4 linked regions of the Rhinolophus ferrumequinum genome follow. The protein of the gene in region 2 interacts with the protein of the main gene of each other region in a pairwise test. Links are inferred from orthologs where the notes say so. Each region holds a gene or a part of one and is shown on either strand. Other genes may lie near its edges. The genes, in order: RAB3IP, RUFY1, RAB39B and UTP25.

Region 1 (8,269 bases), on a different chromosome or scaffold from region 2:
CTACCTTTCTGACTCCTTATGAATATTTTCCTTTAATACCCACTGTGACTTGCAGAGCAGATATTCAATGAATATCTGATTTAAAAAAATCTCTGGTGACACATGAAGAATTATTTATTACGTTAAGTATCTCATGAGAGCTAAATTAAAAACAATTCTTCAGCATTACAACCTACACACGTGGAAGTAGGAGAGCGCAATGGCTAGGAGCATGGACATTAAAACAAACTGCCTGACTAATCTAGTCCTGTAACTTCATTTAGCTGTGTGATCTTGGGCACGCTACCTCTCTCAACTATAAAAAGGGATGGAATTAGGGATTACCTAACTCCTAGGTCACTGTGAGAGGAAATTTCTATAGTGCTTAGACCAGAACCTGATACATGGGAAACTCTACCCAATGGTGCCAGTATATCACCATCATCAGAAAACTGGAATATTTTTTAAGCCAGAAATACAAATGATAAGAACACCTTTCAGAAGGTGTGTAGACCAGGAATGGAAGAAGCAAGCACATTAAGAGTTCCATTTTGGGCAGTCACACTCAGTTTTTAAACCTGGCTCTGCCATTAATCAGCTATATCACCATTGGCAAATAAGTAACCATAGGCAAGTTATTTCACCTCTCTGAGCCTCAACTTCCTAAACTGTAAAACGCAATCCCACCTATATCCCAGGAATGTCCCCAGGACTAAAGGAGACAGGGACCTAAAGCAAGAGCACTGGGCCTGGCCCACTGTCAAGTTTATATGTCTCCCTTGCCCCACCTCCTCACATCCCATGTGGAGTATCTCCCTAAATTTCATCCATTAAAAACTTAATATTAGGTTGAACCATATGAAAAACAGGTGACGACTAGCAAATTCATATGGTTCCATCTAATACTGTATCAATTCACAAATGGAGAAAATAAACTCAGGGAGGTGAAGTGATTTACTCAAGGTCACATGCACAGTAAGTAAAGGGAGCTAAAACTTACAAAAAGAATTGTTTTAAGATTTAATAATTTTTCATTTGGCCAGCTAATTGATTCAATGAGTCCTGCTCAGGATGAGAGGAAAGGAGGTGAATACTATAACCACAATAATGTATGTAAAACTACTGTAACCTACAAGCTTTTGTTCTGCCATATTAAAAAAAAATGATGGGGAGCTAGATTTCTAAGAATCTTTCAACTTTAAAAGTTATTTGTGGAGTGTCTGTATGTGTGTTGGGGTGGTTGAGGGTTTAGGGAAAAATAGAGGAAAAATATTAAAGGAAGAAGATACATAAGGACACTAATTCAAAAAGTACAATTGTATCTAATTAGAAACCTGGCTGATTACAAACCCCACAAGCAGCTGAACATCAAATATCCATCCAGATGAGAGGTTAGAGGTATTCAATACCACGGAGTGGGTTGACTGCCAAACACATAAAAAAGAGCTGTATTAAATGTATCCACTTTTGGGGGTGGCCGGTTAGCTCAGTTGGCGCTAATAACCCAAGGTTGCCAGTTTGAGCCGCGCATGGGTTGCGTCCTCCTTTAAAAAAAAAAAAAAAATTAGAAGGAGAAATAGATTAAGTAACCTAAAAAAAAACAAATGTATCCACTCTGATTCAAAAAGGTATGCACTAAGGTAGTGGAAAAAGAAAAAAATTAAAAGGCTTTTCTTCTAACAGCAAGAAATACACCATTGTAGTAAAATTGTACATAACTGCTAAGTTTTTTCTATACATTCCACAAGGGCTTCAGGATTAGATCACTTAATCCATATTTGGGATACAACGTCCACCCAAAAATGAAAAGTCCTATCAAAATGCACAGTACTAGTAAATAAATAACAAATGTTAACAGAACAAGGCCCCATAAAACTGGTGGAATATTTAACAGCATCAGATATTCACTATGATAGGTCTACAAATGTATTCTGCCTCTTCTCCTTGATTTGTCATTCACGTTTTGTTTTTTTAACTGCATGAACAAAAAATGAGGGTGAGGATAATGAACAGAAACTGGGTCTTTCAATAGATTTACAATGGAACAGTTTTGCTTTAATCCTCTTATCGGCCTCTGCTCCAATTATGTAATCATTCCATGGCAAAAGATTACACGGATCTTTCCCTACACTAAAATGAAGGAGCTGGAGAGAGAAACACAAGAGTGTGAAACAGGTAGCCTTTGGAATATGTTGTATTTCCTCGAAACTAAATTGTTTGCCTCTTAGGAATCGGTATTAACTCAGCGCTCTCAATTTACCCTTTAGCCATTTACAGATTGTTTTTTTTAATCCCTTAACCACTGGCTACTCTTCTCGCGCTGTAGGTCCCACCAAACACCATCACTTCCAGAATCCATTAAGCTCGCTTTTCCCCCGGCGGTCGGAGCGAGATGTCATCGCTGGAAGAGCAATGTAATCACAATAATGTCTGTCTGTGCAGCTCGTCTCAACTCCCCGAAACAAAAGTCAGGCTGAACTGGGCTGCCTCCTACGGCACGACTCCAGGGCGCTTGTTCTTGCCCACCAGGTTTCACCGAAACCTCCCGAGAGTGACCTCTGCGCCTCGAGATGGTGCCTCACACGTCTTTCACTGAGACCCCTGGTCCACGCCTACAGCTTCACCACGATCCGGCTCCTGCGCTGAACCGAGCTCCAGACTTACTCGGGAACTCTCTTTCGACTCCCCTCCGCGACCCCGTGCCCTCAGCCGCGCGCGCCCCGCCTACAGGTAACCCAGCTCCGGGCTCCCAGCCGTGGGTGCTCGGGACCGCGCAGTTAATGAGTAACGCGCCCGTGCCCGGGGAGCGGGGGAGGAGCCGCCGCCGCCCGACGTCCACCGGCGGTCCCTGGGGGTGCCCAGATGCCCAGAGCCCCGCGCCTCCGCCGCCGCTTACTGGGGTCCCGGAGCCCGCGCGTGCCGAGGCGAGGGCGCGCGCTGGCCGGGCCAGGCATCCGGGTCGGATCTCCGTGCACCGCACCCTCCGCCGCGCCCGCAGCTGCACCTGCCACGGCCGCCCCCCAGGCCGGCTCGCGTGAGGCGGGCGCCAAGGGGGGGCGGTGCTCCGCGCCGCGGGCCTCTCCGTCCCGCGGCCGCACTCACCTGACGAACCCACGACGGCCGCTGCCCGCGCTCAGGGGCGCTCACAGAACCCCACAGAGCGCGCCCCCAAGCAGCGAGAGGCGGACGACCGCCGGCCGACGCCGCTACACTTCGCCGCGGCGGGCGCACTGCGCCGGGAGCCGCCGAGGGAGCGTGGGACTGCGCCTGCGCCGTGAGCGGGGCCTGAAGCGGCCCGGCCCCGCCGTGGGGAGGCCGGCTGGGGGCGGGGCTGGGGCGGTGCCTCGTGGGGCCCGAGGGGCCTGCGCGCTCCCGCGCCCCCTGGCGCCTAGAGGTGCTTTTCCCAGGTACCGGGGTTTGGGCCTCAGGTGTTGCTGAGGGCGGTTTCCCGGGGAACGAGCCCGAGTCGGCGCACAGCCTTGTTTCCCTGGGCCCCATAGGAGGTCTTGGGTTAACTTCGAGTGTGCTAGGCTCGGCCGGAGACGGAAAAAGAACCTTCGATGTTAGTTAACAACTGCTAGAACCAACCTGAGAAACTTGGTGTCCATATAGACCTTATAACGTGCGCGTGTGGGTGTGTGTCGGGGGTGTTGGGGGTGGGGAGTGGAGAGTCCGATAGAACCCAGATCCCGTCATCCCAGCTGCTGCTAGAGCATTCGAGAATGTCGTTTCTGTACCTGCCTTCTCTCATCTTTTGTGTCAACTCTATCAAACTTCCACACTTCTTTAGGAACTCCAGGTAGGAAAAGTGAAAGTACACAACCAAGCCCCTAAAATCTGATCAAAAAGAGCAATCACCGCGTGTGTCTCTGTCTAACTAAAATGGATACGTGCAACTTATGTAATACACACATGGAATAGGATCATCATTCTGTATATTGAGTACATCTATTCGAGGCAGTGAATAAGAGAGTAGGTTATGTGTATGGCTATAGGAATCAGAATTCCTGGGTTTGAATTTGCCACCTACTAGCTGTGTGACCTTGGGCAAGTTAATCTTTAAATAGCCCCAATTTTCTGAACAGTAAAGGAAGATGGTAAGAGTACTTACCTCACTGAGTCGTTGAGAGATTAAATGGTTAAATAATGTAAACACTTAGTGTACCGCATGACACAGAGTGCCTGACGAATATTAGCTGTATTATTAATAACATTATTACTCTTATCATCCACCTATAATCCAAACAGAAACCTAGAAAGTCGTTATTTACTCATTTATACCACATTTCCCATATATCAAGTCCTATCCATTCAAATTCCCAAATAATTCTTAAATCTATCCTACCTCATATTCACTGCTGCTAAATATGACCTTCCTCATTAATAGACTCCTAACTACTCTTCCTTATACCATGTCGTTCATGTCATGTCATGAATGAATGCCATTCATTCATCAGACATTTATTGTGCTCCATCTATGTGCCTACTGCTGGACAAAGGGACATAGAAACCATTACACATAATCTCGACCACAGACTCAAACATAGTGAGGGAGACAAATACACGTATGTCAATTACTGTGAGCTTCTTGAGAACAGGCACAAGGCCTGACATGTAGTAGGGCTGGCTCAATAAATGCAGAATGGGTGAATGACATACATGGAGATGTACTCTCTTGGTATAGAAGTGTTTACAGGACCAGTCCTATAATATATTCTACATAGGACCTTAGACATCGTTCATCTGTAGGAAATAGTAAGCGATAGCCATAGGTCTAAATCCGATGTTGGTTTATTTACAAATCACCCACTATCCATGAGGCTATTTGGAATCTATGAGTACTTACAGGTGTTTTCTCTCACATACTTAATCTGCCATCATAGTTTGAGAATGCAGAGAGTGATATGGGTAGTTACCTACAATAATACTTTAGTGTCCTTGCAGCACAGAAACCAAAGTACATTACAGAGTGTTAGATACTCAGAATCTCAGCCTGCAAAATATATAATGTGTTGTGAGCATCCTAAGTTAGATTGCCCAACCATAAGTTAAAGAGATAGATACTTCACCACTTTAAAAACATGATTTTTAGTGTGCTGAAAATCACACTATATTTTGTAGTGTGATTTTGTAGTGTGCTCAAGTTTGCCTCCTTTCTCTTTCGTTGAAAAATAAATGACAGTATACAACTAATGTCAAATACAACATATAAAATAATATTATATATTTTTTTAAATCTTAAGACTTTCCCATCCATACCTGGGACCAGAAAACAAAGGAGACGAGTGCAGATATCTAGAAATTTAAAATTGAACAAATCATTGTAAGGTTGTTACCCTTAGTTATAATTTTTATTGCTTGTTTGCCTCTGTTTTATTTTCAAAATTCAGAAAATGTTGTATATTTACATGGTACTTTCCAGTAATTATATTTACATGGTACTTTCCAGACTTCACATAAAGTATGTCATGAGTCCTTTACAAAAAAATAATTTGACATAGGTATAAAGGTAGTTATTCTTCATTGTTACAGATGGAGAACTTGGATCACCAGAGTCAGGGCTCTGGTCTGCAGAATGCAGGGTAATATATTACAAACAAATGAAGTTAAAACTCTTTTTTTAAAAAAAAAGCATACTGGATTTCATGTCCAGCAGTATGGCAGACTAGATACTGGTTGATTCTCCCACCAAAAACAACTAAAAGTGCTAAATAAAATATATGAAACATCTTATCAAACATATCAATCAGCTGACAAGAACCCTCAAGGGCAAAACTAGGTAAAAGCAGGAACTCAGACAGTAAATAATAAAGAGGAAAAAAAAGGGGGTGTGGTTACTGGGAAAAAAGTACCAAGGGCAATCTATCATTTCCTTGTCTAGCAAAATAGTTACTTGTGTGTCAGTGCTCACTGCTCACATTCCCATAAAAATTTGCCTTCGCGACTCCTGTACAAAAACAGAACTGTCTCTAAAGTATCTTTCATTAGGTCACTTATATACAACTCTGCATTTCAGGCCATTTTTCTAATGTTGGAATGAACGACTGAAAAGATCTGAGGGCTGAGAGAAAGGAGCTTAGACTCTAAAAAGTATGGTTTCCTTCAAAAGAGTCACTTTAACAAGCTACATACGTATAAGGAAATGTTTTGAGAATGGGCTTTGGATCCCGTTTATTTCACAGACACACACAATTTGCCATCCATTAAACACATATTTATTGATTGCTTCTCTCTGCCAGGTACATAAATAATCTGCAGGAAGAGGAAAGAGAAGGAGAGGTGAGACTTAATGAGAGGGCTTCCTGGCTCCCCACAGTGTTTCAGTCCCGGGTTCCAGTCTATTTCTGAGACTTCCCTCATTCATCATTTCCCATGTGTTCTGTGAGAAATCCTTGTATCCTTAAAATAATGCCCCCATTTTGCTTAGATTTTGAATGGAAAATACAACATATAAAATAATATTATATATTTTTTTAAATCTTAAGACTTTCCCATCCATACCTGGGACCAGAAAACAAAGGAGATGAGTGCAGATATCTAGAAATTTAAAATTGAACAAATCATTGTAAGGTTGTTACCCTTAGTTATAATTTTTATTGCTTGTTTGCCTCTGTTCTATTTTCAAAGTTCAGAAAATGTTGTATATTTACATGTATATATACAATGTTGTATATTTATAATCTTTTCATGGAGAGATTGGTTTCCATAGCAGTTAAAAACTCAAAATAACAGTAACTTAAGCAAAATAAAATTTATTCCTCTCCTGCAAATGTAGGAAGTCCAGGGTTGATGTGGTGGCTCTCTGATCAACGTGGACACAGCCGTCTTCTCTCTTGTATCTTCACCATCTTGAACATGCAGCTCCTGCCTTATGGTCCATGATGGCTGCTCAAGCTCCAGCTATCACATCCTTATTTCCAGAACATAGAAAGGAGATAGGGGAAGAAAAGAGCACGCGCCTTTACTTAAGAACATGTGGAGAAGTTGTATACATCACCACACTTACACCTATTGGTCAGAACTTGACTAAGTGATGTTCAAACATGTAGTCTCTTTTAAGTGGCCATGTGCCCAGCTAAAAATCAGTGGTTCTAATACTAAAGAAGAATGGGAGGACAAATACTGGAGAAAACTAGCAGTCTGGCTCATCATCAGAGATCAGACTTAGGGTCAAAGAAACAGTGATGGGGTAGAACATACAAATAGAGCAAAGACGTTGTAAGGAAAACATGCAGTGTGTTCAGGGATGGTGAGCAATGCAGATTAGTTAGCACATGGAACAACTGCAGGTAGATAAGCCTAGAAAGATACATGGGAGCCAGATTGTAGCTCATAAATGTCCATGGGAGCCAGATTGTATTTCATAAATGCCATGTGGTGGTCAGAAGAGCGTTCCTGTAAGACTTTGAGCTGGAGAGTGAAATGATCAAAACAGTGCTTTAGGAAGAGGAACGTGGTGGCAATGCCGACAACGTACTTGAGTGAGGAATGACTAGAGGTAAAGAAATTAGATAGGAAGCTACTATGAGATAGTGAGTGCTTATATTGCAATGAAAACAGGCAAGGAAAAACATTTCAGAGGATGAATTTGTCTGACGCAACAAGTAATTAGATCCTCCCTCGCTCCCTCTCTTTCATATTCAGCATCGTTATCCTTTTGGGGATCAGCACAATGACTTTATTTGGGGAAGTACACTTTCACCATGTTCGGTTCACATGATTCAAATGGAACTGAATTCCCCCCCCCCCACTTCAAGGTGAGCATGTGACCCACGCATACCCAATTCAAGAATCTTGGTCTCTGGTCTCTGGGATTAGTTCATAATAAGCAAATGACTCAAGCAGGCAATGACAGTAGCTGGCAATGGAGAACATGGCTGAGAATGGGACTGACAGGGAGTAGGCAGATCTGAGAGGTAAAAAGACCCAGTGTGAGTCCTGATCACGTTATTTGACGTCCTGGATCAAGTTGTGACTGAAGCTGAAGCACCTGAACTTTTTAGTTGTATGAGACAGTAATTTTCTCTTTGCTTAAGCCAGTCTCTGTTGGGTTTTTGGCCACTTGCAACTCAATATACAGAAAAAAAGGCAAAGAAAGCATCGATGATAATTCCAAGCTTTAAAAACAGTGTAGTCTACCTTTCTCATACATAGTATTAATAGACTTGACTCTGATAAATTTTATCTGTTCCAAAAAAACCAACTCTGCATTCAAAGAGAGGATATTTGGTATAACTGGGAATGATCACAGTTATGCTATGAAAGCTCTAAATGTAATTACAGAGTCATA
Region 2 (7,917 bases):
CACTTATCTTAATGGCTAACTTAAGGAATTTAGCAATGTGAAGTGGAAAAAGTTGTTGTGCTTCATTTTGGAAGGAGCTGCAGCACAAAATAAAATTTGTCATGGGAGAGAACAGAAAAAGGCACAAATATGTACCATCTACTTAATGGCAAATATAATTTTAAAATCAAAGAATGCCTTCTCCAGTGAGTACCCACTGTGCTGGGCTCATTAATTCCATAAACATGTATGTTTTGCTATTCATCCTTTAGGAAGAGACATCACTCTAGAAAGCAAGATGTGGAACTTTGTGTGTATGTCCTGTGGTTTTCATGAAAACTGTGTAGATGAAAGGATAGCTACAAGCATACACACCCTTTGAAAGATCGAACAGGATTGAGGTCAGTTTCTGGAATGAAGGACTGCCTCTATACAAGTCTTCTTTAGTATGGTTAGATGTTTTTTTTCCCCCACCATGCACGTTTATTATCTTAAAAAAATAAATCAGGGAGGCTGGATGGCCCAGTTGTTTAGAGCGCAAGCTCTGAACAACAGGGTTGCCGGTTTGATTCCCACAAGGGCCAGTGAGCTGTGCCCTCCACAACAACTTGGAGCTGATGGGCCCTGGAGAAACACACTGTTCCCCAATAATAAATAAATGAAAGAAAGAGAAAGAGAGAGAGAAAGAATATTTAAAAAATAAAAAACCAAATAAGACAACTATGTGAATGCAATTGCTGTGGCCTGCTGTGCTGCTACCAGACCTCACGTGGGATAATGCTGTACAACAAATACTCAGAGCATTCCACAACATTCCACAGTGTTTCCCTTTAACCTTTATTACCCCCAATTTTTTTCTGGGATGGGGCCTGCTGACACTCGACCTCTGTTCCTTCACTGCTCCCTCTGACAACGCTGCATCCTCATCACTTATGGAAGCAGATTGGTGGGAAAGACACGAATGAGCCTGCTGAAGCGGGGCCACTGTCTTCTCCTGACCTGCTGTTCGGGGGCCTCTGCCCAGCCTGGTGCCCGGGTCCACCTCCTTTCGCCACCTCCACTCCTGTCCTATTGGATGGCTCCAAATCCCGGTGACCTTCGTGGACTAGCCCACAGCTTCTCCCAGCTGTTTCCCACATTTCAGTCCTTGTTCAGTCATGTTCACAATTTTTGCCAGATCTGAGTGGCATTTATTTAATATTTTCATTAAAATATTAAATCTAATTAAAAAATCCATACGCATATATTAAGGCATTTTACCATAAAACTATTTAGAGGTATCGAGGCATTGGGGTGTTGTGACTAACAGCATGGCTTGAGAGGCAGGTGTCTTGGTTCAAGTATGGGCTCTGCCATTTCTAAGTTACTCTTTAAGTCAGTTTCCCTCCTTTCTAAAACGGGGATAAAATGGTACCTATCACATGGGCTGGCTCCATGTGGAAAGGCGAGGAAGTCAGTCTCCCCTTCGTGGGTCCTAAGGCATTGCACCTTCCTACAGAGATGGGGACCACCCTCTGGGGAGGATGAGAGGCCCGGTTGCCTGCCTACTGTGCTGTGGCACTGCCAGCCTGGTGCGGCATGGCAGTGGACACTCTAAGATTCAAAAGGCAAGACCCCAACCCTGCTTAGGCCAGCAGTGCCCCAGGGTAGTCTGAGTGGGCCAGGGCGGCTGAGAACCTGTCCCACGGAGGCAGTGGAAGGTGGGACCACACGTGAGTCCGACTCCAAGACCCCCACACATGCTCCTTTGTTCGCTCCTTCACTTACAAAACACAAATTCAGAGATATAATTACTAAGAATTTCAAGCATGGGTCATTTCTCAGTGCCTGTCCCTGTTGGACCACATTAACCAAAGCCTGCATCGATTACACACCATGAAGCCAGTCCTGCTATTATGCAGGATTACAGTGAGGATTAAATGAATTATGTACAGATCTAAGACTAATAACTGGCACCCAGTAAGCACAATACAAGTGTTGGCTATTATTCATAGCTCATAAATGGAAAACAAGTATTTTTCAAATAGGCATTTGTTCGAATATTTATTATTCTGAGCTAGGCACTGTTCTGGGCATTGGAACATTTTATTCATCAGTGAACAGGTAACATTATTTGCTTACTACCTACCATGAACTATCTGAGAGGCCTCCAGAAGACCCCAGGCCTTGACTCTGGGACTGACTGCCAGTGGGTGGGTGTGCAAACACTCACTGACATGCACAAAGCGGGCAAGGGATTGGGGACCAGATTCCTGGGTAGAGCAGCCCCTCATTACCTTTTAGTCCTACTTTCCATTGTCAGAATCTGAAAAGAAGTCAGATTTTAAACTTTACTCCTTAATCTTTCTTAACCACTGAGATTCTCAAAATTCACTATTCTGGAAAAGTTGCCAGTGGGTAGGACAGAATCAAGAAACCTCCAAGGCACACTAATGCTTCTTAAAGAGCACTCCAGTCTTTAGTCAGCTCTGCCCCACAGCACTTTCCTATGCAGAAGAAAATGTCCCCAGTGCACTATGCAATACGTAGCCACAAGCCCCCCGTGGGCCACTGAGTCACACATTTAATGTTTCCATTCTTCTCACTAATGACAAGGGCTGAAAGCACTGTAGGGAATCACTGGGTGAATCAAAACTCCCCATTTTACTGGCTGGGAAATGTGGTGACTTGACTCCTTGCGGAGAGTGGATGCGCTGTCACACCTGCAGGTGTGAGCTGGGCTGGCATTTTGAGATTTACGGCAGAAGTCCTGGATTTACTTAAGTGCTTTTTAAATCCCATACAGATAACCTGAGCTCAAACTCGTACATTTTCTTAAGGCCCACCAATGAATATAACGACGTTGTCTGGGGAACACAAGTGGGAGTCACCACCCAAGCCACGAATTCATCTCTGCGCAGCCGCAGAGTGTAGAGAAATCAGAAGAGAAGCCAGGCGCGTGAACACACTGGCTTCTTACGACCAGTCTAACAGGGTCTTGTCTGCCGCCCTCCTACAGCCAACCACCCCCTGACCCGAGCGGAGAACGGGCGGGACGCGCTCGCCGGACCTACCTGCCGGCGCCGCGCCGTCGGCGCCGCCGCCCGCGCTGCCCAGTCCCGCGGCCGCACGCAGCGCGCTCCCGCAGCTCGCCGACAGGTTGCCGGTGGCCCTGCGCGCCAGGGTCAGGATGGGCGCGGACCAGCCGTCCGCCGCGGCCCGCCGTCTCGCTGCACTCCGCAGCTCGCCCGGGCCCGGCAGCTGGCTCCGGTCCACGATCTCGAACTCTTCTCCCGGCTCCGGCTCCTGCGCCTGCTCCGGCCCTGGCCCGAGCTCCCGCCCCGCCGAGCAGCTGGCTCCCCCGTCGGCCATCTTGGCCGCGTCACGTGGCCCGAGCGGGCCGCGTGCTCGGGGCGGGCGGGCCGGCGCTCTCACACCCTTGCTGTCCTGTTTTCCTGTTCGCGACGTCGGTCTTCTTCTTCACCACCCTCCCTCCCTCCCTCCCTCCCACTCTAAGTAGGTTCAGGAAAGTACCGGTCATAACCTAAGGAGCGCCCCTATTCCCACCAGTCGGGAGGACTTTTTTCCGTGAAGTTACTCTTGGTCCCAGCCTAGAACACAGCCCACATGGCCTTAGTTTTCTTTGTGACACGAGTTCCTCTTTTTTATTTTCATTTCATATTTTGCTTTTTCTATTTCACTTTTCTGCAGCAGTCTTCAGAACAAGCAAAAGGGCGGGTAAGGAAACGGACTGGAGAGGTAGGAAACAGAAGTTTTAAAAAATTACGGACCTAATGCCACAGCTTGGCAGAAAATCCACTGAGGTGGATTGGAAATCTGAAGGTCCAGATTCTGCTATTAATTGGCTAAAGGGGGACAATAACAACCTACCTCATTATTTAAGTAAGATTTTGCAGTAAGGAGCACGGAGCAAACGTTAGCAATCGTGATGGCTGTTACCCAACTATGCGGCTTAGGCAAGGCACTCTTAACGACTTATAGCCTGTTTTGGCACTTGGAAAAGAAGGGAATTTGACAAAGTAGAAACTCAAATTTCACCAGCATTTGACACTTTTTTTTTTTTTTTTTTTTTGCAAAGTGCTGCACGTGGGCACCATCAAACAAGCAGAACTGTTTGGTTTGACTCCCAGAGTGCTTACATTTTAAATTTTCAGGTTGTTGCAGATATCTAGAAATCAACCGGTTTTGCATAAAAAGCTGGATTTTGGCTGTCCCTTGAAGCATCGGAAGATTTGGCAACTCAGTATGTTTGCTGATGGCGGCGAACTAGTGGAGTGGGCAGTGGCTGCCCTTCAGAAGCCCAGGTTCTCTAGGCGTGTAGGTCCAGCCCAGTGTACTAGTCATGATCTGCCTGATCCCTGAAGGCCAATTGTTTTTTGTGGAGTGGGGAGTGAGTGGGGGAATTGGTGGGGATGACATTTGAGTTGTCACAGTGATTGAGGAGTGGAGGGGCGGATGGGGTGTCGGGTAGTTTGGAATGACAAAGAGTTGTCCAGGATCCTTCAGGACTCTCCTTCCCCCTGGACATTCATGTAAGTGCAAAGCTTGTTTATAATGATCAGAGCCTGGAGCCTAATTCCATTTTGCATAAAAACATAAACTATTCTTGAGGGGAACAGTTTTAATACTATATCAGGCTAGGTTATGCTTCAGTAACAACCCCCAAATATCAGTATCTTCCCATAACAGAAGTTTGTCATTATGCCGGGCTGTTGGAGGTTCTGTCACTTGGAGCAGTTTTGCATCAATAGTAAATGCCCCAGCCTTGAAGTGATTATTCCCTTATACACATTTCATTGGCCAAAGCAAGTCACATAGCAACTCTAACTTCAATAGAATTGGGAAGTTCAATCCTATTAGTGGAATAGGAGAACTGGGAATATTGGTGAACAGAATAATGACTACCAGAAATGCATTTTGAATTTTCCCAGAATGCAACAAAATTGATTTGTTCAGAACCTAAAAGTTATTAACCGTTTCAGAACATCATGTCACCCACAACAATGCTGGAGATGTTAAGATGATGCCAGTGCTGTCTGTCACAGTCATGGCTATTTTATATAAAGGTACAAATAGTTACATTGCTTTTAGTGGTAGTTGTGCCTCATTTACATATTGAAATACATATTATGGAGTTATTTCTCTTAGGACATACTAATTTTTTGAGATTTTGAGTGTTGGTAGGTAGGTTTATTATCTATGAATTTCATTTCAGAATTGTAAATGGGGCATTATAGAAGATATACCGTGTTTCCCCGAAAATAAGACCTAGCTGGATGATCAGCTCTAATGCGTCTTTTGGAGCAAAAGTTAATAGAATGAAGAGGCAACCTGAAGAGACCAGAATTACCTGCTGGGAAAGATTGGTTTTTGTCAATTGGGGGAACTTGAATGTGGATATTAGATATTGCAGAATTAATTTTTTAAGTATGATAATGGATTGTGGGTGTGTAGGAAAAGGCCTTTATTTTTACAGCTGCATTAGAGTATCAAGTAGTGATATGTTATGATGTCTATAATTTATTTTAAAATACTTCAGCAAAAGAAAATAGATGATGCAAATGTGGCAAGAGCTTGACACTTTTGAAATCTAGGTAACAAGTGTACGAGAGTTATTACATATTCCCTCTACTTTTCTGAATGTCTGTATTTTCATAAGAAAAAGTAAAAAGATATGTAAAAAAGTGAATCTGTTTGCAACAGCAGCCAATGTTCCATGAAGTGAAAAATCACCAAAAAAGGCTTGACATTTTTTTTTTAAAAAATGAAAACATAAATTAAGAAAATAAGTATATTTGATCTTATATTTAATAAAATGTAGACTATGCTTGCAACCATGTGCTGGTTTTTAGAATGAATACAAAAATGAACAAATGCTGATTCTTTTGTATAATTTTTCTGAAAAATTACCTGATATCAAGACATAGCATCATTCATTTTAGCTGATTTATGGTGGACTCAGAAAGAGGGTCCAAAACTTAGGCTTCATCTTATTTCTCAAGTTCTCTTCAATCTTTTATAGACCTATCATATCTCTTTTTTTCCCCTGTGGTTCCATTTCCATTTTAGTTGTATCTGTTTGCACATAGCTAGTACTCAAGCGAATAGGCCAAAAGCAGTAAACTAATCCTGTTCACAATGCTATTCATTCTTCTGGCTGCTTTCATGGGATTGCTTATTGGAAAACACAAGCCATTTTATGGTATTATTACTCTATACTGTGAGCCTATCTGAGCTCACTCTTTACTTTTAATATAAGTTGTAAATTCATTATTTTTTTCCAACCATTCTGTTTTGAAGTTCATCAGCGTTGACTTCCTTTTCTGCCGACCCTACGTGTAGGGGCTTTGTGTGGGAATTGAGGGGGACCTGAGCATCACTTTTGTTTACTCGTGAAATCTTGCATCCTGTGCAAGATGCACAGTTTCACTGTACAGTTGATTGGCCTTGTAGACATCTGCCAGCTGGTGAGAGACTGGCTGGCCATCGGGTCCGTACTGGGGACAGTGCTTTGGGCTTCAGCAGGAAGTGAGCTTTGAGGAGGGACTAATTTTATAAGCGGTAACAGATTTTATAAGGGGTACTGCTAACATACTCATTAGTGAATATTTTAATTTTATGAAGACTTGCTTCTCTAAATGGCCTTGTAACTGCAGGGACTAGGGCAAAATACCCACAGGTGAATATTTTGAGTTTAAAACTTGTAGCTTGTTGTGGTGGCTGTGACTGACTGAGATGCAGGTGCTGTTTCTGAGATGGCATCCATCAATGTCTAGCAGGTGAAAGCGTAATCACCTAATAGGAAAACTCTCCTTACTCACTATACTTCTGATGCTAATTGCGCAGAGTGGGTGCAGACCCCACAAGACTGCAGAGGCCAATCACTAGTGTGGGCCTCTGGTACTTTTGACCGACTGGCTATCAACTGGGGATTTGCACGACCCCCTCCTTGGATTTGGCAATTTACTAGCATGACTCACGGTATTGAGGAAAGCACTTTAACCGTTGATTGCAAAGGATACAACTCAGGAACAGCTAACTGGTAGAGATATGTGGGACAAGCTGTGTGAGACAGATGTGGAGTGGCTATGCCCCTCTGGGCACGCCATCCTCCCAGCACCTTGATGTGTTCAGCAACCTGGAAGATCTCTGAACCTCATTGTTGAGGCTTTTTATGGAGGTTCCATGACTTGGGCAGGATTGATGAAGTTGGGTGGTTGAACTCAATCTCTAGCCCCTCTCACGTCCCTGGAGGTCCAGTGGTGGGGATGAATGTTCCAACCCTCTAATTACATGGTTGATTCTTTTGACAACAGCCCTCATCCTCCCTGAGTCACCTCATCAGCATAAACTCAGGTATGGTTGAATGGCACTTATTAGAAATAACGAAAGATACAACTATGTCCCCCATTACTCAGGAAAAGTACACGGGTTTTAGGAGCTCTGTGCCAGGAACCAGGAGCAGAGACCAAATATTGTTTCTTATCCTTCTCCTCCTCCTCCCCCTTCTTATTCTATACAGTGTTTCTTTATGAACAAATTGTACCACACAAATCAGGTTATCTCTTCTATCTGTATTTACAGAAGCAACAGAATATTTTACTAGGAGATATTCTGTACCTGGACCAGACGACTGGAACATGGAGTGGACATCTAATGACCAAGAAGGTAAAACTGGCAACTGTTGTGCAACTTCTCGGAGAAGATTCGAGTGTGTTTTCTACGTCTTTGATAATAAGCTGCTCACCAGCAGGGATAGGATAACACGTTAAGGGGGTGATGTGGCCAGAGAAGGGGTGATGTAGGACACCACAGGGAGCTAAACCAGGACAAGGAGCAGAGGCATGTCAGCTTAGGTTAAACACCAAGCCCGGACAGCGCCCTGCAGTGGGACCGCCCCAAGGTACCGCATCCCTTTGCGAGCTGAAATTGGGCGAG
Region 3 (7,497 bases), on a different chromosome or scaffold from region 2:
TTTCTCTGCCTCGTGGCGAGTCACTTGCCTCTGTGTATCCAGGTCACACTTGTGACCCACCAGAACAAATACAATTTGGTAGGGCTGAACGTGTACTTTGGTCTCTTCTAACCACTCATGGACATTCTGGAAGGACCTGCGGTTGGTAATGTCAAATAAGAGAAGGCCACCTACTGAGTTCCTGTAGTAGGCGCGAGTGATGGACCTAAAACACAAGAAAGAAGTCAAGAATGAAGGCCATGCCCAAACTGCTGTGCAACCGAATACAAATGTCACTCAATAATAATAATAATAATAATAATAATAATAATAATATGTGAATTTTCAATTGGGCCAAGTTTTGAGATGGCATCTTCTACAAATGAATGCTCATGACACAGGCATTTCCTATCGATTCGGGTAGAAGCACAGCTAACTCTCCCACCCCCACATCTGAATAACTGAATGAGATGTCTTGTTCTGCGAAATGGGATACCTAAGTCAGTTATCATGAGGCAAAATGAAATAATGGATGTTAACGTGTTCTGTGATCTGGAGAGCTCATTACAAATTCTAAACATTTTTAAAAATGACTTTATAATGATTGAGAAAATGCTCATAAGTATATAGGTATATTGTAACACACTCCATTTTTTCCCATCTATCATTACCACGTTTGCCTTTCTATTTTTCTATTATTATTATTATTATTATTATTTTAATCTAACAGTGGTCCTCAATCTCTTCTGTGAGGAGAAACACAATTCTGTTTTTTTTTTGCACCCAGACCATTAAGAATAGGAAAAAGAGATAGGTGGTCTGCAAAGGCCTTGGGCAAAGTGCCTCTCAGCCATACTTCCTGCCATATTTCAGAGAGGCTGAATACGGAGCCACCAGCTGGAAAAAAACTGCCTAAATCTTCAAAGTTTCCCCTTAAAATGACATGATTTAGTTAAAGCATTATAATTAGAATATTTCTAAAACCTATTATACATTTGCTGTGCTTCTTAAACAGAAGAAACCTCATCTATTTTAACTTCTTGATTTGAGGAGATTCATTATCAATATACATCATGGTACTTTAGAGCTTATTAGAGGGTGTAGAATTATTTGCTTCTACAATCACTTGCTTTAGACTACTGTGCTTTTTGATTTATGTCTATTTTTAGGTTTCATCTGTTTTCTTGGATGAAGAAGATAAATAATGAAGGACTCAATAGCTTATAGCTTAGGGCAAATGACTCAATGATAACAGAGCAAACATCCAGGGGATTAAAGTCCCAACTAGACGATGGTAAGAGCAAACCTTACAAATGATTCCAAGTCTCCAGAACCTGGCAAATCAGCCCCAGGAAAGGAAGCTGTTTCTAATTCCCTTATGTTTGAAGATTCATGGATAATGGGAGGTGTACCAGAAGATTCGACATGATCAAACAAAGGTTTTGCTTTGTGAACAGCTTGGCTCAAAACATCAATAAGCAAGCTCTAGAGCCCTTTCAAAACTCTAAAATACATTATGGTATTAGTATTTAGGAAGTAACGAAGACCTTTCTAAGCACAACATAAGGCTACATAAAAATTAAGACCTTCTGTACATCAAAAAGATTTTCTTAAAGTTCAAAGACAAACGACAAACTGGGAAAATATTTTACAACATATGTGACAGAAAAGCATTAATATTCCTAATCTAAAAAGAACTCTTACAAATCAATATCACCCAATAATAATGATCAGTGGATATGAAAAGGCTGTTCATAGAGATATTCCAATAAACACATAAAAGACACTTCACTTATAATATGCAAAATGCATTTATAAGTTCAAAGTGAACCTGTACAAGGATATTTGCCAGGGTGTTGTCCGTGGAAGTGGGGAGTTGGAGACAACTTAAGTTCGAGTTAGCTCTTCTCCTTACCCCTTTTCAACTACCTAATCAGTATTTTCTATGCTCAATTACTGTTCGATAAATAAATCATCTTGAACATGGGCTATTGAGTCCTTTTGTTCTAGCTCCTGATGCTCTATGTGCCTTTAGCTCAGATTGATCCCTCAAAGTTTTCTGTGTACATTGCTCTCTCCCACTTCTGTCTTTACACATGCCGTTTCCTCTCCCTGGGCTTTTCCTGTCATCCTCGTCAGGCCTCATCTTTGCCAGGTAGCCTTCCCTCCTCTGTATATATTATACATAGAATTCCAAATGATACATACTACAAATGAAAAGCAAAGGGTTGTACAAGAAGATTGAACCTGTTCATTGATTACTCATTAAATGCTAAAAGTTATAGTTGGGAGTGAGCACCCAAATATAAACAAGACAGTCTTTTGTGTAATTGCTGATTATCTACTTCTCCCCACTATGCTAGCACACTTCTCAGAGGGAAGGGCCTGTGTCTGTTTTGTTTACATGGCATCTCCTTGTGTGAGTTTCCTCAGAAAGAAGCCTGATGCCTGGCATGCAGTGGGGTGATCACTGACTGTGCGCTGGTTGCAGGAAGGAATGAATCCCCAGTACCTCTTTCGTATGTATATGAATACTATATCTGTATCTGAACCTATGTCTATCTCTGTTTCTGTCTCCATATCACCTGTCTGTATCCTTCAGTTATGTTGGGATGACCTGGGAACATTTTTAAAAGTACGTAGCATAGGGACCAAGATTGACGAATTACAGTGATCAATTCCAGATGGTTTGTTAGCCACCAAGGGGCAGGTTGGTGGAGTTGTGGTGCAAGCAATACGTATTATTGACCGGCCTTCCCTGCCAGGGCGCTTCTTTCCCTGCACCGCACGCGCGGGTCGCTGAAGGTGGGCTTAAGCAGAAACCCCTAGACCTTCGGTAACGTCCCTAAGGGCCGCGACCAGGACCGGGAAGTCCTCTTTCCCCAGGGGCTGTGCACGCTCCGAAGACCCTCCCACTGCCCGCGGGCCCGGGCTGCGCTCCCACCTGAACCTCTCTTGACCCGCGGTATCCCAGATCTGGAGCTTGATGCGTTTTCCTGGCTCGATCTCCACCAGACGGGAGAAAAAATCCACCCCCACGGTGGGGTCCGAAACCTGGGCAAAGCGGCCCTCGGTGAAGCGGCGGATGAGACAGGACTTGCCCACCGTGGAATCCCCGATGACAATGAGCCGGAACTGGTACAGCCAGATGGCTTCCATGGCCGGGGGTCGGCAGGTCTCCTTGGCCCGGGCCGTGTGCGGCGAGAGGGGGTGTCTCGCCCAGGCCTCGGAGAGCGCGGCTCGGTCCGGATCTAAATGCACCGCGAGCGCATCGCTTGCCTGGGAGCCCGAGGCGAGGTAGGCCCAGGCGCAGGGAGAGCTGAGGGATGGATGCTGCGCTCACTGAGGTGATGAAATGGCAGCAGCATCAGCACCACGCACTCTGACTCATCACTGACAACCGGGCTACTGTAATCCCCCGCGTAGACGCGACGTCCGCGGCCGCCGCACTGTCTGTAAAAGGAGCGCACAGGAAAACAGCCGAAAAAACGCCCCTTCCCTTCCTTTCTAATTCCTCCGCCCACCCCCTCTTCTTAATTAAAAAGGTTATCTATCTATCTTTCAAATTGCAAAAGTAATATTTTTTCATTAAAACTGGGGAAACAATACAAAAATGTACACAGAAAAGAAAGTCCATAATTATCTGCCCCCTCCCTCCCCAAGATATTAACATAACGCTTGGTACATACTCTTCCTACGGATTTCCATGAAAATGTATTTACGTCTATATGTATGTGTGTGTATACACATATAGACATATACATATATAATAAAACATATGTATACATATACATTGATTGCTTTTTAATTTTACAAAAACTGACCCATTACTCTGGCACTCGCTTTTTCCAATTAACAAAGAATCATAGACATCTTTCCGTTTCCAACTAATCTTAGTTTGCCATGACAATGCTGCAATAAACATTTTCTTAAGTATAGTCACGCATACATTATTCCCATGGAATAGACTCTTACAAGAGGGTTTAGTAAGTCAAAGAGCATGCGTACTTTAATGGATATAGGCATTACATGTAATTTGCAAAAAATATTTACCAATTTAAATTCTAGTCAGCAATTTCTGAAAAATCCATTTCTTTGCATTATTTCAAGCATCGTATGTTATATTCTTTCATACTTCTTGCCAATCTGATGTAGTTAAATAAAAAAGTGTCGCTGGTTTATTTTACATTTCCTGACTACTAATGAGCTCTTGTGCAGTGGCCATTTGCATTTCCTCTGGGAATTGCCTCTTTAAATCCTTTGTGCTTTTCATATGTAATCTTTTATAATGGTTTTACTCATTTTTTTTTCATTTTTTAAACAGTTTTATTGATGTATAATTCACATACCACACAATTCGGTCACTTAAAGTGCACAACTCAATGAAGTCATAGAGTTGTGCAGCCATCACCATAAATTTAAAATATTTTCATCACCTCAAAAAGAAGCTTCTACCTTTTAGCCAACATCCCTCTGTCCCTCTTCCCTCCTAGCGCTAGGCAAACACTAATAGTTCTAATAGTTTTTTGGCAAAATCTTTCAGGTTCTCTATATATAGAGAACGTCATCTGCATCATGTCATCTGCAAATAATGAGAGTTTTACTTCTTCTTTTCCAATTTGGATACTTTTATATCTTTTTCTTTTCTGATTGCTCTGGCTAGGAATTCCAGTACTATGTTAAATAAAATTAGGCATCCTTGTCTTGTTTCTAATCTTAAGGAGAATGCTTTTACTAGATGAATATACTCTTAGCTATGGGTTTGTCATATGTGGCCTGTATTATGTTTAGGTGTGTTCCCTCTATTCCCATTTTGCTGAGAGTATTTTTTTTTTTTCTCTCATAAATGGATGCTGAATTTTGTTTGTTGGGAGTTTTTTGATTATTGATTCAATTTCATTAGTGGTAATTGGTCAGTTCAGATTTTCTGTTTCTTTTTGTTTCAGTCTTGAAAGATTGCATGTTTCCAGGAATTTATCCATGTCTTCCAGGTTGTCTAATTTGTTGGCATATAATTGTTCGTAATATTTTCTTATAATCTTTTGTATTTCTGTGATATCAGTTGTCATTCTTTCATTTCTGATTTTATGTATATGGGTCATCTCTCTTTTTTTCTTGATGAGTCAGGTTAAAAGTTTATCAATTTTGTTTATCTTTTCAAAGAACCAGCTCTTGGTTTCATTGCTCTTTTGTATTGTTCTTTTAGACTCTATTTTGTTTATTTCCTTTCTGATCTTTACAATTTCCTTTGTTTTAATCATGTTGGGCTTTGTTTGCTGTTCTGTTCTTTTTCCAGTTTCCTTAGGTGTAAAGTTAGGCTGTTTGAGATTTTTCTTGTTTCTTTAGGTAGGCCTGCATTGCTATGAATTTATTTTTTCGGACTGCTTTCACTGTGTCCCATAGATTTTGAGTCAATGTGTTTTCATTTTCATTTGTGTCAAGGTATCTTTTGATTTCTTCCTTGATCTCATTGTTGACCCATTCATTATTTAGTAGCATATTATTTAGCTTCCATGTGTTTGTGTGTTTTTCAGTTTTTTTTCTGGTAATCGATTTCTAGTTTTATACCATTGTGGCCAGAGAAGACACTTGATATGATTTCAATCTTCTTAAATTTATTGAGACTTGTTTTGTGGCTTAACCTGTCATCTAACTTGGAAAATGTTTCATGTACAGATGAAAAGAATGTATATTCTTCTGCCTTAGGGTGAAATGCTCTAAAAATATCAATTAAATCCATCGGGTGTAGTGTGTCATTTAAGTCTGCTGTTTCTTATTGATTTTATGTCTGGTAGATCTGTCCATTGGTGTAAATGGGGTGTTAAAGTCCCCTACTATGAATGTATTACTGTCTTTCTCTCCCTTTATGTCGGTTTATATTTGCTTTATATATTTAGGTGCTTCTATGTTGGGTGCATAAATGTTTATGAGGGTTATAGCCTCTTGTTGGATTGCTCCCTTTATCATTATGTAATGTCCCTCTTTGTCTCTTATTATAGCCTTTGTTTTAAAGTCTATTTTGTCATAAAAGAATTGCTACCCCAGCTTTTTTGTCATTTCCATTTGCATGAAATATCTTTTCCATCCCTTTACTTTCACTCTGCGTGTGTCTTTCAATGTAAGTGAGTCTATTGTAGTCAGCCTATGCATGGGTCTTGTTTTCTTATCACTTCAGCCACCCTATGTCTTTTGATTGGAGCATTTAATCCATTTACATTGAAAGTGATTGTTGATAGATACATAGTTATTGCCATTATCATTCATTTTTATGTTCTTCCCCCACCCTTTTTTCTTCTTAAAGAAGTCCCTTTAACATTTCCTGTATACTGGTTTGGTGGTGATGAACTCCTTTAACTTTTCCTTGTCTGGGAAGCTTTTTATCTCTCCTTCAATTTTAAATGATAGCCTTCTTGGGTAGTCTTAGTTGTAGATCATTGCTTTTCATCACTTTGAATATTTTGTGCCAATCCCTTCTTGCCTGCAGTTTCTGTTGAGAAATCAGCTGGAAATCTTATGGGAGCTCCCTTGTAAGTAACTAGTTGTCTTTCTCTTGCTGCTTTTAGGATTTTCTCTTTGTCTTTAACCTTTTTCATTTTAATTATAACGTATCTTGGTGTGGGCCTCTTTGGGTTCATCTTGTTTGGGAACCTCTGCACTTCCTGGGCTTGTCTATTTCTTTCGACAGGTTAAGAAAGTTTACAGCCTTTATTTCTTCAAATAGGTTCTCAATCCTTTGCTTTCTCTCTTCCCCTTCTGGTACCCTAGTAATACGAATGTTGGTACGTTTGATGTTGTCCCAGAGTTCCCTTAAACTATCCTCATTTCTTTTTGGATTCTTTTATCTTTTTGCTGTTTTGATTGGGTGATTTATGCTACCTTTGCGTGAATTCATCCTTTGCTTCATGTAATCTGCTGGTGATTCCTTTTAGTGCATTCTTCATTCATTTATTGTATTCTTTACATCTGACTCATTTCTTTTTTATCATTTCTGTGTCCTTTTTTATGCTTGCTATCTCTTACTTGAAGTTCTTGAGCTTCCTTATAACCATTGTTTTGAATTGTGTATGGTAGGTTGCTTGCCTCCATTTTGTTTAGTAGTTTTTCTGAAGTTTTCTCCTGTTCTTTAATTTGGGGCAGATGTCTTCATTTTCTCATTTTGGCTGCCTTCCTGTGTTTGTTTCTATGTATTAGGTAGATCTGCTATGTCTCACCATCTTGGCCAGGTGGTCTTATGCAGTAGGTGCTCTCTGGGGCCCAGTGGCACAGTCTCTCTGGTCACCTGTGCCAGGAGTGTCCTTTCTGTAGGTTTTGTGTGCCCTGATGTTATAGTTGAGCCTTGATTTTTATTGGCATGTCCCTGGGTGGGATTGATCCTCAGGCTGACTAGCTGTGTGGTATTACCATGTCCATAGCTTACAGGCTGTTGTGCAGGGGGCTTATCCCAAGAAGCAGGATTCAACCTAGTGAGCTCTGGTGCCTGTTCAGACCACCCTCAATGTGTGCTCTTGTGGGGCTAAT
Region 4 (7,997 bases), on a different chromosome or scaffold from region 2:
ACACAGTAACTGTTTAGTAAATGAATGAATGAACGTATTCATTTATGAATGAATGAACTGTTTAGTAAATGAATTGATGAATGAACGTATGTATGCATGCTGAGCCTTTGCCAGAAAATATGAAAAACAGGGTGTAGTTATACCAATGCTCCACTAGAGGGAGGGATATAAACCTTTACCCCCTCCAGCATAGTTTCTAGGCTTGTTCTTAATTAGATTAACATAATCTGGTAAACTATTTCAGTTTTAGGCAAGACCTAATGTAACTCAATCTCTGAGAAACCTGAGGAAACATATTTATTAAAGGTCACTATATGCCAGGCTCTGGGTTTGACAACAGGTACCTCTTGTGGGTACAGTTAAATAGAAAGGGTAGGAACTATATATAATAATATTTTACATTCCTGTGTTATGTAGAGTGCATTTAAGTACATTACAAAGCTTTTCTGTTTGCAGACATAATCTCGTTTTCTAAAATATGCTCCACCTAGATAGCTCATTGCTCCATACACAATAAATACTGTGGAATCCAATGACTACACAGCTTTCTAATTTCCTGTTGTTCTATATCCCTCATATCCTGTCTTGAACACACACACACACACACACGCTGTTCATGAAGTTAGCTGAAACAACCCATACAGCCTAAGCTCTAGACTCTAGATCAATTTTGAGGTCAATACTAATGTTCAATGCATATGACTGGCAAACGCTCAACTGCACTGGATTCTCCCTCCCCGACTAGGCCCCCGGGCCCCTAACTTTGTCCTTAGCTTCCTCAGCAACCAGCGTGTGTCAGTTCAGCATTCATCACAGTGTGTTGTGATGATCTGTGTACTTATCCATACCTGGACTGTAAACTCCTTAAAGAGGCTGGCCTGGATCTTAGCTGCCTCAGCGGCTAGCACACCTGACACACAGTGGTTAGTAAATATTTTTTTTGAATAAATAAATAAGCTCATTTCATTATAAGGATAGCAAAAGACTGATTTCTGCCAGTACTCTCAGGGAGAGGCTGGATTACTTTGGGGTGTGCACAGACACGTGTGTATGCATGTGGTGGAGGGGCTGGTCTCGTATGAAGGAAACTCTGATTTAAATCCTCTGGGGGAGGAAGATGCAGGGCACGTGTGCACGCGTGTACTCACACACTCACACATACGCACACGTGTACACACACCATCCCCTGAATCTTCCCAGATCAGTAGCTGAGCTGTCTGGACTTTCATCATTAGAGAGTCATACTTTGGATTACATACGGCTCCCTGTAAACATGTCTTGAACACATGTGCCCTTGTTACCATGTAAGTTTCAAAACTCAAACGTACCCACTATCTGATCTGTATCCTCAAGTTGGGTGCCCCCATACCGCTGAGAATCTCAGGCAGACCTACCCCCATACCACTGAGAATCTCAGGTAGACCTCTGCTTACTTTCTGTAGTTTGCATTAGAGAGCAGTTTGTTTATCTGTCTTTTCAAATACAGAGCTGTATATCAAATAATCTCTCTCAAACCATATACACCATAATGTTTGCAAGGGATTAAAACACATCAATTTGTATAACTCTGTGAGTTAATAATGACACCAAAAATAAAAGCAAAGACTTGATGAATCACCATTAGGAGATCTAGTGAATTAGCTCCTTGTGTTGAAAATTAGTAAATGAAGGGAGAGAATCAAGCATTTATTCTGCCTTTCCTATGTAAACTATACCACGGGGTAACGCAAATTTACATAAAGGAGATGTCTGTCATCATGGAAATAGTCCAGCAAGTAAGTGAAGAAGAAATGATAGAATTAGAACATCACCCCCCTATGATAGAATTATTAATAGAATGCAACATCTAATAAATTAACAAATTTAGACATTAAGCACCAATGGCTGGTAACGTCCCACAATGAAAGGCAACCAGAAATTATACTTCTGATGGGAATATAAAATACCAACTATAATGAAGTCTGATCAAAGTTCTGGATCCCACAACCTATTTGTGAGAAATATACAGAACAGCAGAACACATAAAACCAGCAAAGTGTAAAAACAAACAAACAAAAAACAACAGACCACATTTATGAGACAATCAGAATTTAAACACTGACTGGTTATATGATGGTATTAAATAATTATTATCACTTTTTGTAGGTGAAATAATGCCATTGTGACTATGTTAAAGAAAGAACCCTTATCTTTTAAAAATGCATACTAAAATATTTACAGATGAAATAGTTTAATGCCTGGGATTTGCTTCAAAAATAATGCAGAGGGGAGTCAGGAGCACTGGGTGGGCGTATATATGAAACAAGATGGCTTTGTGTTGATACTTGTTGAAACTGAGTAATGGGTACATAGGAATGCGTTATACCATTTTGGCTACTTTTGTATATACTTGAAATTTCCCAAAGGTTTTTAAAAATATTATTAACACCTTCCTGACTATTCTGATATTCTTGTCTTAAGGGACAGTCATTTCTCTCCCACCCCTTGAGATCATTATCCTGGGGAATCTCCTGGGAATTACAAACGCTCTGGGAAAAGTAACAATTGATAAACACCTCTCTAGGAAGGAGCATAAAAGATTATTTCCCGGTCTGCCTTTATCCCTGAGAATACTGAGTGCCTGAGGGTAAAGGTAAAAGAAAACCCTGGAGGAGGAAAAAGGAAGGCTGTGTGTGGGAAGGAGAAAGAGAACAAATTTTGCTTCATTACAATTTTCCCAGGGCCTTCACTAGTTCACACTTCACTAGTGTGGGTTTTACTAAGAGAATTTTCACGGGAGGTGTGGAAAAAAAAGTTCAAATTCTGGACTCTCACGTTAAAATTTCACAAAGGGTCCCCTTTTATGTTGTTAAAGGCTAATATAAATTTTTTCAGGAGAAGAGGGGACCCCTTTCCATTGCTCAGTGAGCCAATGAGGAGACCGCTTGGGAAGGGCTGGGACACATTCTTGCCTAAACCTGGGAACAGTCTAGACCTGTCCAGAAGACTATGAGGATATGGAAACCAGGAGAGAGTAAGGAGTCACTTCAAGTGCTCAAGAGTATAGCTTTTTATAGAAGATCTCTGGAAGAATACCAAGAAACTGGTTGCCTCTGGGGAGGGAAGCTGGGACATTTGGGATAGGGAGGGAGGAGAAAAAAACATCTGACTCTTTATTGTTATAGCCGGGTATTACTATAGTTAGCACCTTAAAATATATGATGACATTTTGCAAACAGCCTTTTGTTGACATAAGTGACGGTACCTTTTATTAGACAGAAGACAGAAGTCTGTTTGTTCGTGGGTTCCTTGGCTGGGCCAGCTGCTACACCACCTGCTGTTGGCATATTTCCTTGATACTCCCTCTACCTGCCCTCTCTACCCCACCCTGATATCCCAGAATCTGATTAAGAGTAGTAGATAGTCACTAGAACTGACAAGAATAGGATCCTAGCAGCTCTAGTACGACTTCTGCAGGTGTGACATGGTATTGGACAAAGCTCAGATTTTCCCAGAGAAACACACCCCTAGTAGCAGAGCCCAGCACTCTCTTTGATGGATCCTGTTTCACCTTAAAAATTCAGGTGAATTTTGAGGTCTATGAATTACCACTTTGTTTTCATAGAACATGACATTATAAGTTATTATTAGGAGAAAAGGGTCGCTGTGTTCATCCCGTGGTCTCAAGTAGCCCTGCACATTCTGCATGTTCCTGGAGTATGCGTCCAGTTTTGTTTTTTGCTTTTTCCTTCTTTGTTTACTGAGGCTATTATTTACATACATTAAAATTCACCAAGTTTAAATGCACAGTTTGATTAATTTTGGTAATTGTACACAAGGTGTTAACAACCTCCACGATCAAGATACAGAACGTATCTTCATGATCAAGATACTGCACCTTCAAGTTTTCCATCCACCTTTGCCAGAGTTTAGTTGTGAGACATGGGGTTGAGTTCTACTGCTTCTTCCAACATCTGGCTTTCTGGGTAATTTTAGGAAAGTCACTTTACCTCTCTGTGTGTGTCTGCTCTTGTAACATGAAGAATGTTTCTAGTTGTTCCAACCCTTTCAGAAAATGAGGGAGGGGTGAGAGCGGAGATCTCAGTCTTGTGTCTGAGATTCTTGATATAGCACACGCATGTGGCAGACCCTCGTGGGTAATAGCCCGTGGTCGCCTCAGACAGACTTCAGTTTCCATCTCCTCTCTTGTTAGTGTGTAACCTTTCCTAAGCGTCGGTTTCATCTGCAGTGTCAGGCTTATTAAAAAGACCTATTTGTGTAGCGTTGTGAGGATGAAGTGAGATGTGCCGGCACCTTGAATTGGTATTTTTATTATGGTATAATACGAAATCACTGCCTTCAACCATCTCCGCTATTGCATGTTTCCGCAGGCTGAATCCCACAGCCAAAACAGAATCACAAAGCACGCCCACCGTATCACCCAACCCTCGCAGCCCCCAGCCTACCCGCCAACGTCCTAGGACTCAAAGAACAAATACGTAAGCATGCGTGCATGTGTTTCCAAAGAGCTTCGCTAGGAGGCGGAAGCGAGACCAGGAAGTTCCAACACGGTCGTACAAGCGCGACGTAAAGCGGGTCTGCTTTATGGCAACTCGCTTTTGCCGTAAAGCGCTTCCGGCGAGCCCATGCGAGTGGGTTGGCGAGACAACTTCCTGGTGGGAAACGCGGCGTTTGAAATCAGACCGACTTGATTTTTCGCTATGGGCAAACGCGGGAGCCGGAGCCAGAGCCAGCTGCTCAGCACCCTGACTAAAAAGCAGAAGAAGCATCTTCGGGATTTCGGCGAGGAGCATCCCTTCTATGACAGGTATGGAGGGGCATGACTGGGGCCAGAGCTGCCGCGTCTTTTCCCAGTGGGAGCCCACGTTTCCCCGGATTTGGTCCACCGGTTTTCCATGGGATGGTAAGTAACGGGGCGCTCCCGCCTCTTCCCACGTTTCCCGGCGTCCGCTGTGCTCAGGGTCTGGCCCGGTTGGTGCTGGGGAGGATTCTGGCGGCATCCCGCCTGAGAAGGGGTTCTTCACACGTCTTCCTACCTTTTGTTGAGCCTGTCACTTTATGCTAGACCACACGCCCGCCGTGTGTGGGCTGGATTGTATGGTCATAGATTTTCTAGATTGTTTTTTGGTGTGTGTGTTTTTAAAGAATTGTTTGAGGGGGCCTCCGACACCACTGATCTGTCCAAGTACAATGAGGAAACTGCTGCATTGGTAGTTGTACGTTTCCAGCCTCTCAGTGACGATCTTGGTGCTCACACCACCACTTTGGGCCGTTTTATCAGTACATTAGAGGGATAGTCTAATTAAGAAATTTGCTAGAAAAGGTGAACCCGAGGTCTTTTATTTGCCAAATTTAGCCATCTTTTGGATGAGAGCCAGTTGTTGGGTGACTCATGTATTTGTCATGTGACCTCGTGAAACTTTTCATTTGTAAGTTATTATAAACTTGTTCTACTCTTACAATCCTTGTCCCAGTGCGTGTGTAGTTTTTACATGACTATAGTTATGTCAACTGTAGTTATAATGTGTTTATAATGGTATATTCTGCGTTTTTCATTTACAGTTGTATCATTAGGCTTTTTGCTAATTGCTACATACTTGTAGTTTAACATTACCTGTTTCTTTTCAGGGTTTCCAGAAAGGAAACAAAACCACAGATTTGTCAACTGGTAAAGCTTTATTCCTTCTTTATAATAGTTGGTTTTGGATTGTTACTTTTAAGATTATATGTAATAATAAAGTTTGGCTGTATTTCCACTCTTTTTGATTTTAGATGTAAGCTGTTATTTTAGTAATGCTGCTTCATTTTGAATGCAGATGTCTTACAATGCTGTTGTGATAATTACAGCAGTAACTGGATTTTGAAACTGCCCCAAGAGATCAATCTATTAGAACCTGTTCAAGAGGCTTACCAGCCTACAGTACTTTGTTGTATTGTAATTTTCCTGTTGCTCCTTTAAATGGGCCAAGTGCCTGACACATAGATTAGGTCTCCTTATAGCCTAAAGCTCTATGTCAGCTTTCTTCCCATGGGGAACATTAGCAGTTCAGAAATGAAGAGCTTCTAGGGTCTTAGCTAGATGAGCTATTTTAAATAAATTTGGTGCTGGGCTTGGCCAAATAGATAGGATTGTGTGTTTGCAGAAGAGCTAATTTTTTAGTATATGTGCTGCTGAAGCGAGCACTGAAGAGCTAATTTTTATATAGGAAAGTCTGAACCTGTTACACGATTGGCCTGATAATAGTTATAGGGTAGCAATGAGAGCAATATCATTTGGTTTTTAAAATCCCCGTTATCCTTTTAGTCAGAGAGTTCAGATACTTCAAGTTCTGAAAGTGAAGCAGAGAGTGAACCAGAACAAGTTTCTGGGTACCACAAACTACTGGCCACATTAAAGACTGTTTCCGAGGAAGAGGAGGAAGAAGAGGAGGAGGAGGAGGAGGAAGAAGAAGAAGACAGTATTGTAGATGAAGCAGAAATGAACGATGAAGATGGTGACAGTGATGTCAGTGTGGAGGAAGAAACAGCGGCAGAGTCCACTGAACCGCGGGAGAGTAAGTATCTTTGGTGTGGGTTCATCCTCTGTGCCAGGACCATTGACAGATTGCCCCATGGGCACACTGCCCTGTACTGTGAGTTGGGTGACAGCACGTGGAGCCAAAGAGAGATTCTTAACCTTGTTGGCTTCAGTGATGTCTTTGAGAATCTGATGAAAACATAGAACCTTCTCACCAGAAAAACATTTTTGCTTAGGATTTCCAGGACTTTCATCAATCCTAGTTAAAGTTTCCCTGATTCAGAGGAACGAAACCATAATTGTTTTTGTGATGGTCTCAGTTTATTAGAGAGACTTCTGTTCATCCCTTAAGAGAAACCAAGTTTAATGGAAAGTAGACACAAATATACAAAAATTGTCAAGTAGCAGATTTTTATGGAACAGCTAGATAAACAATCTTGAAGAGATGCCAAGTGGTCACATGCCACCGAGGGAAAGCTTCAGAGAAGAGCTGGGATTGAAAACATAAAGGAACTTTCTCACTCAGATTTCTAGGTGACTTTTGTCTTTAACTTTAAAATCACCATTATTGAGGTGTGATTTACATACAATAAAGTGTACCATTTAAAGTATATAACTCAATGATTTTTGACAAATGTATATGTCTGTATTATTACTGTCACAATCAAGATACAGAACATCTCTAATGCCTCCAGAAAGTTCCTTCTTGTCCTTTTACAGCCAATTTCCTACCCCTAACATTGGACAACCACTGACCTGCTTTCTTTCACTATACATTAGTTTTGCCTGTTCTAGAAATTTATAAAATTGGAAGCATACAGTACGTACCCTTTTGCATCTGGCTTCTTTGACTCCTCATGATTCAGCCATGTTGTTTATGTATTATGAATTCATTACATTTTATTGCTGGAGTAGCATTTCATTGTCTGAATATATCTAGGTGACTATATCTCACTGTCTTAATGCCTATTTTCTTTACTGCATATTTTTTTCTATACTTGAAGGTGTCACACACCATTCCTAGTATTTTATTAGTTTTACTAGGATAAAAATTCATTGCCTCAGACTTAGGGATATTTTTGTTTTGTTTTTTCAAAATGAAGGTTGCTTTTTTTTTAAAATTATAAAACTAACACGTGTTTACTGTAGAAATTTAAGAAGGTAATATAGTTAATCTATTTCCCCACCACTTAGAGATAAACACTAACATTTTATATAACCTTCCAGACTGCTTTTTTTATAGATACATGGGCCAGTGCAAGTATGTATATATATTTGTGTGTATGTGAATAATGGCCTCATACGTTTCTGTTACTTTTTGCTTTAATAATACACCATGGACATTTTTCCATGTGTTTAACTGTTTTAACATTTCTTAATTACGTAGTATTTCATTGTAAGTGATACTTTGTAATTTAATTACCATTGATAGAAAATGATGAAATCATTTTTCCCAGTTATGTCTTATGATCAGTGATGC

What was found.
Region 1: the proteins of RUFY1 (region 2) and RAB3IP interact in binary tests that used the Homo sapiens proteins (3 or more experiments, as listed by UniProt). The two-hybrid records come from large-scale screens. The link is inferred for Rhinolophus ferrumequinum from reciprocal best matches to the Homo sapiens genes RUFY1 and RAB3IP.
Region 3: the proteins of RUFY1 (region 2) and RAB39B interact in binary tests that used the Homo sapiens proteins (3 or more experiments, as listed by UniProt). The two-hybrid records come from large-scale screens. The link is inferred for Rhinolophus ferrumequinum from reciprocal best matches to the Homo sapiens genes RUFY1 and RAB39B.
Region 4: the proteins of RUFY1 (region 2) and UTP25 interact in binary tests that used the Homo sapiens proteins (3 or more experiments, as listed by UniProt). The link is inferred for Rhinolophus ferrumequinum from reciprocal best matches to the Homo sapiens genes RUFY1 and UTP25.

What each region holds. Positions count from the first base shown.
Region 1 is NC_046293.1:65,678,969-65,687,237, reverse strand, and holds the start of RAB3IP (rab-3A-interacting protein), read right to left. Parts: upstream 3,282-8,269; 5' UTR 3,082-3,281; intron 2,998-3,081; exon of another isoform or gene 2,876-2,997; intron 2,710-2,875; exon of another isoform or gene 2,511-2,709; intron 1,404-2,510; 5' UTR 1,330-1,403; intron 1-1,329. UniProt on the Homo sapiens protein: Guanine nucleotide exchange factor (GEF) which may activate RAB8A and RAB8B. Promotes the exchange of GDP to GTP, converting inactive GDP-bound Rab proteins into their active GTP-bound form.
Region 2 is NC_046307.1:2,763,922-2,771,838, reverse strand, and holds the start of RUFY1 (RUN and FYVE domain-containing protein 1), read right to left. Parts: upstream 3,371-7,917; 5' UTR 3,331-3,370; coding exon 3,033-3,330; intron 1-3,032. UniProt on the Homo sapiens protein: Activating adapter involved in cargo sorting from early/recycling endosomes. Regulates retrieval of proteins from endosomes to the trans-Golgi network through interaction with the dynein-dynactin complex.
Region 3 is NC_046284.1:5,419,510-5,427,006, reverse strand, and holds the start of RAB39B (ras-related protein Rab-39B), read right to left. Parts: upstream 3,317-7,497; 5' UTR 3,139-3,316; coding exon 2,924-3,138; intron 206-2,923; coding exon 1-205. UniProt on the Homo sapiens protein: The small GTPases Rab are key regulators of intracellular membrane trafficking, from the formation of transport vesicles to their fusion with membranes.
Region 4 is NC_046305.1:21,753,790-21,761,786, reverse strand, and holds the start of UTP25 (U3 small nucleolar RNA-associated protein 25 homolog), read left to right. Parts: upstream 1-4,597; 5' UTR 4,598-4,700; coding exon 4,701-4,807; intron 4,808-5,628; coding exon 5,629-5,668; intron 5,669-6,304; coding exon 6,305-6,554; intron 6,555-7,997. UniProt on the Homo sapiens protein: Component of the ribosomal small subunit processome for the biogenesis of ribosomes, functions in pre-ribosomal RNA (pre-rRNA) processing. Essential for embryonic development in part through the regulation of p53 pathway.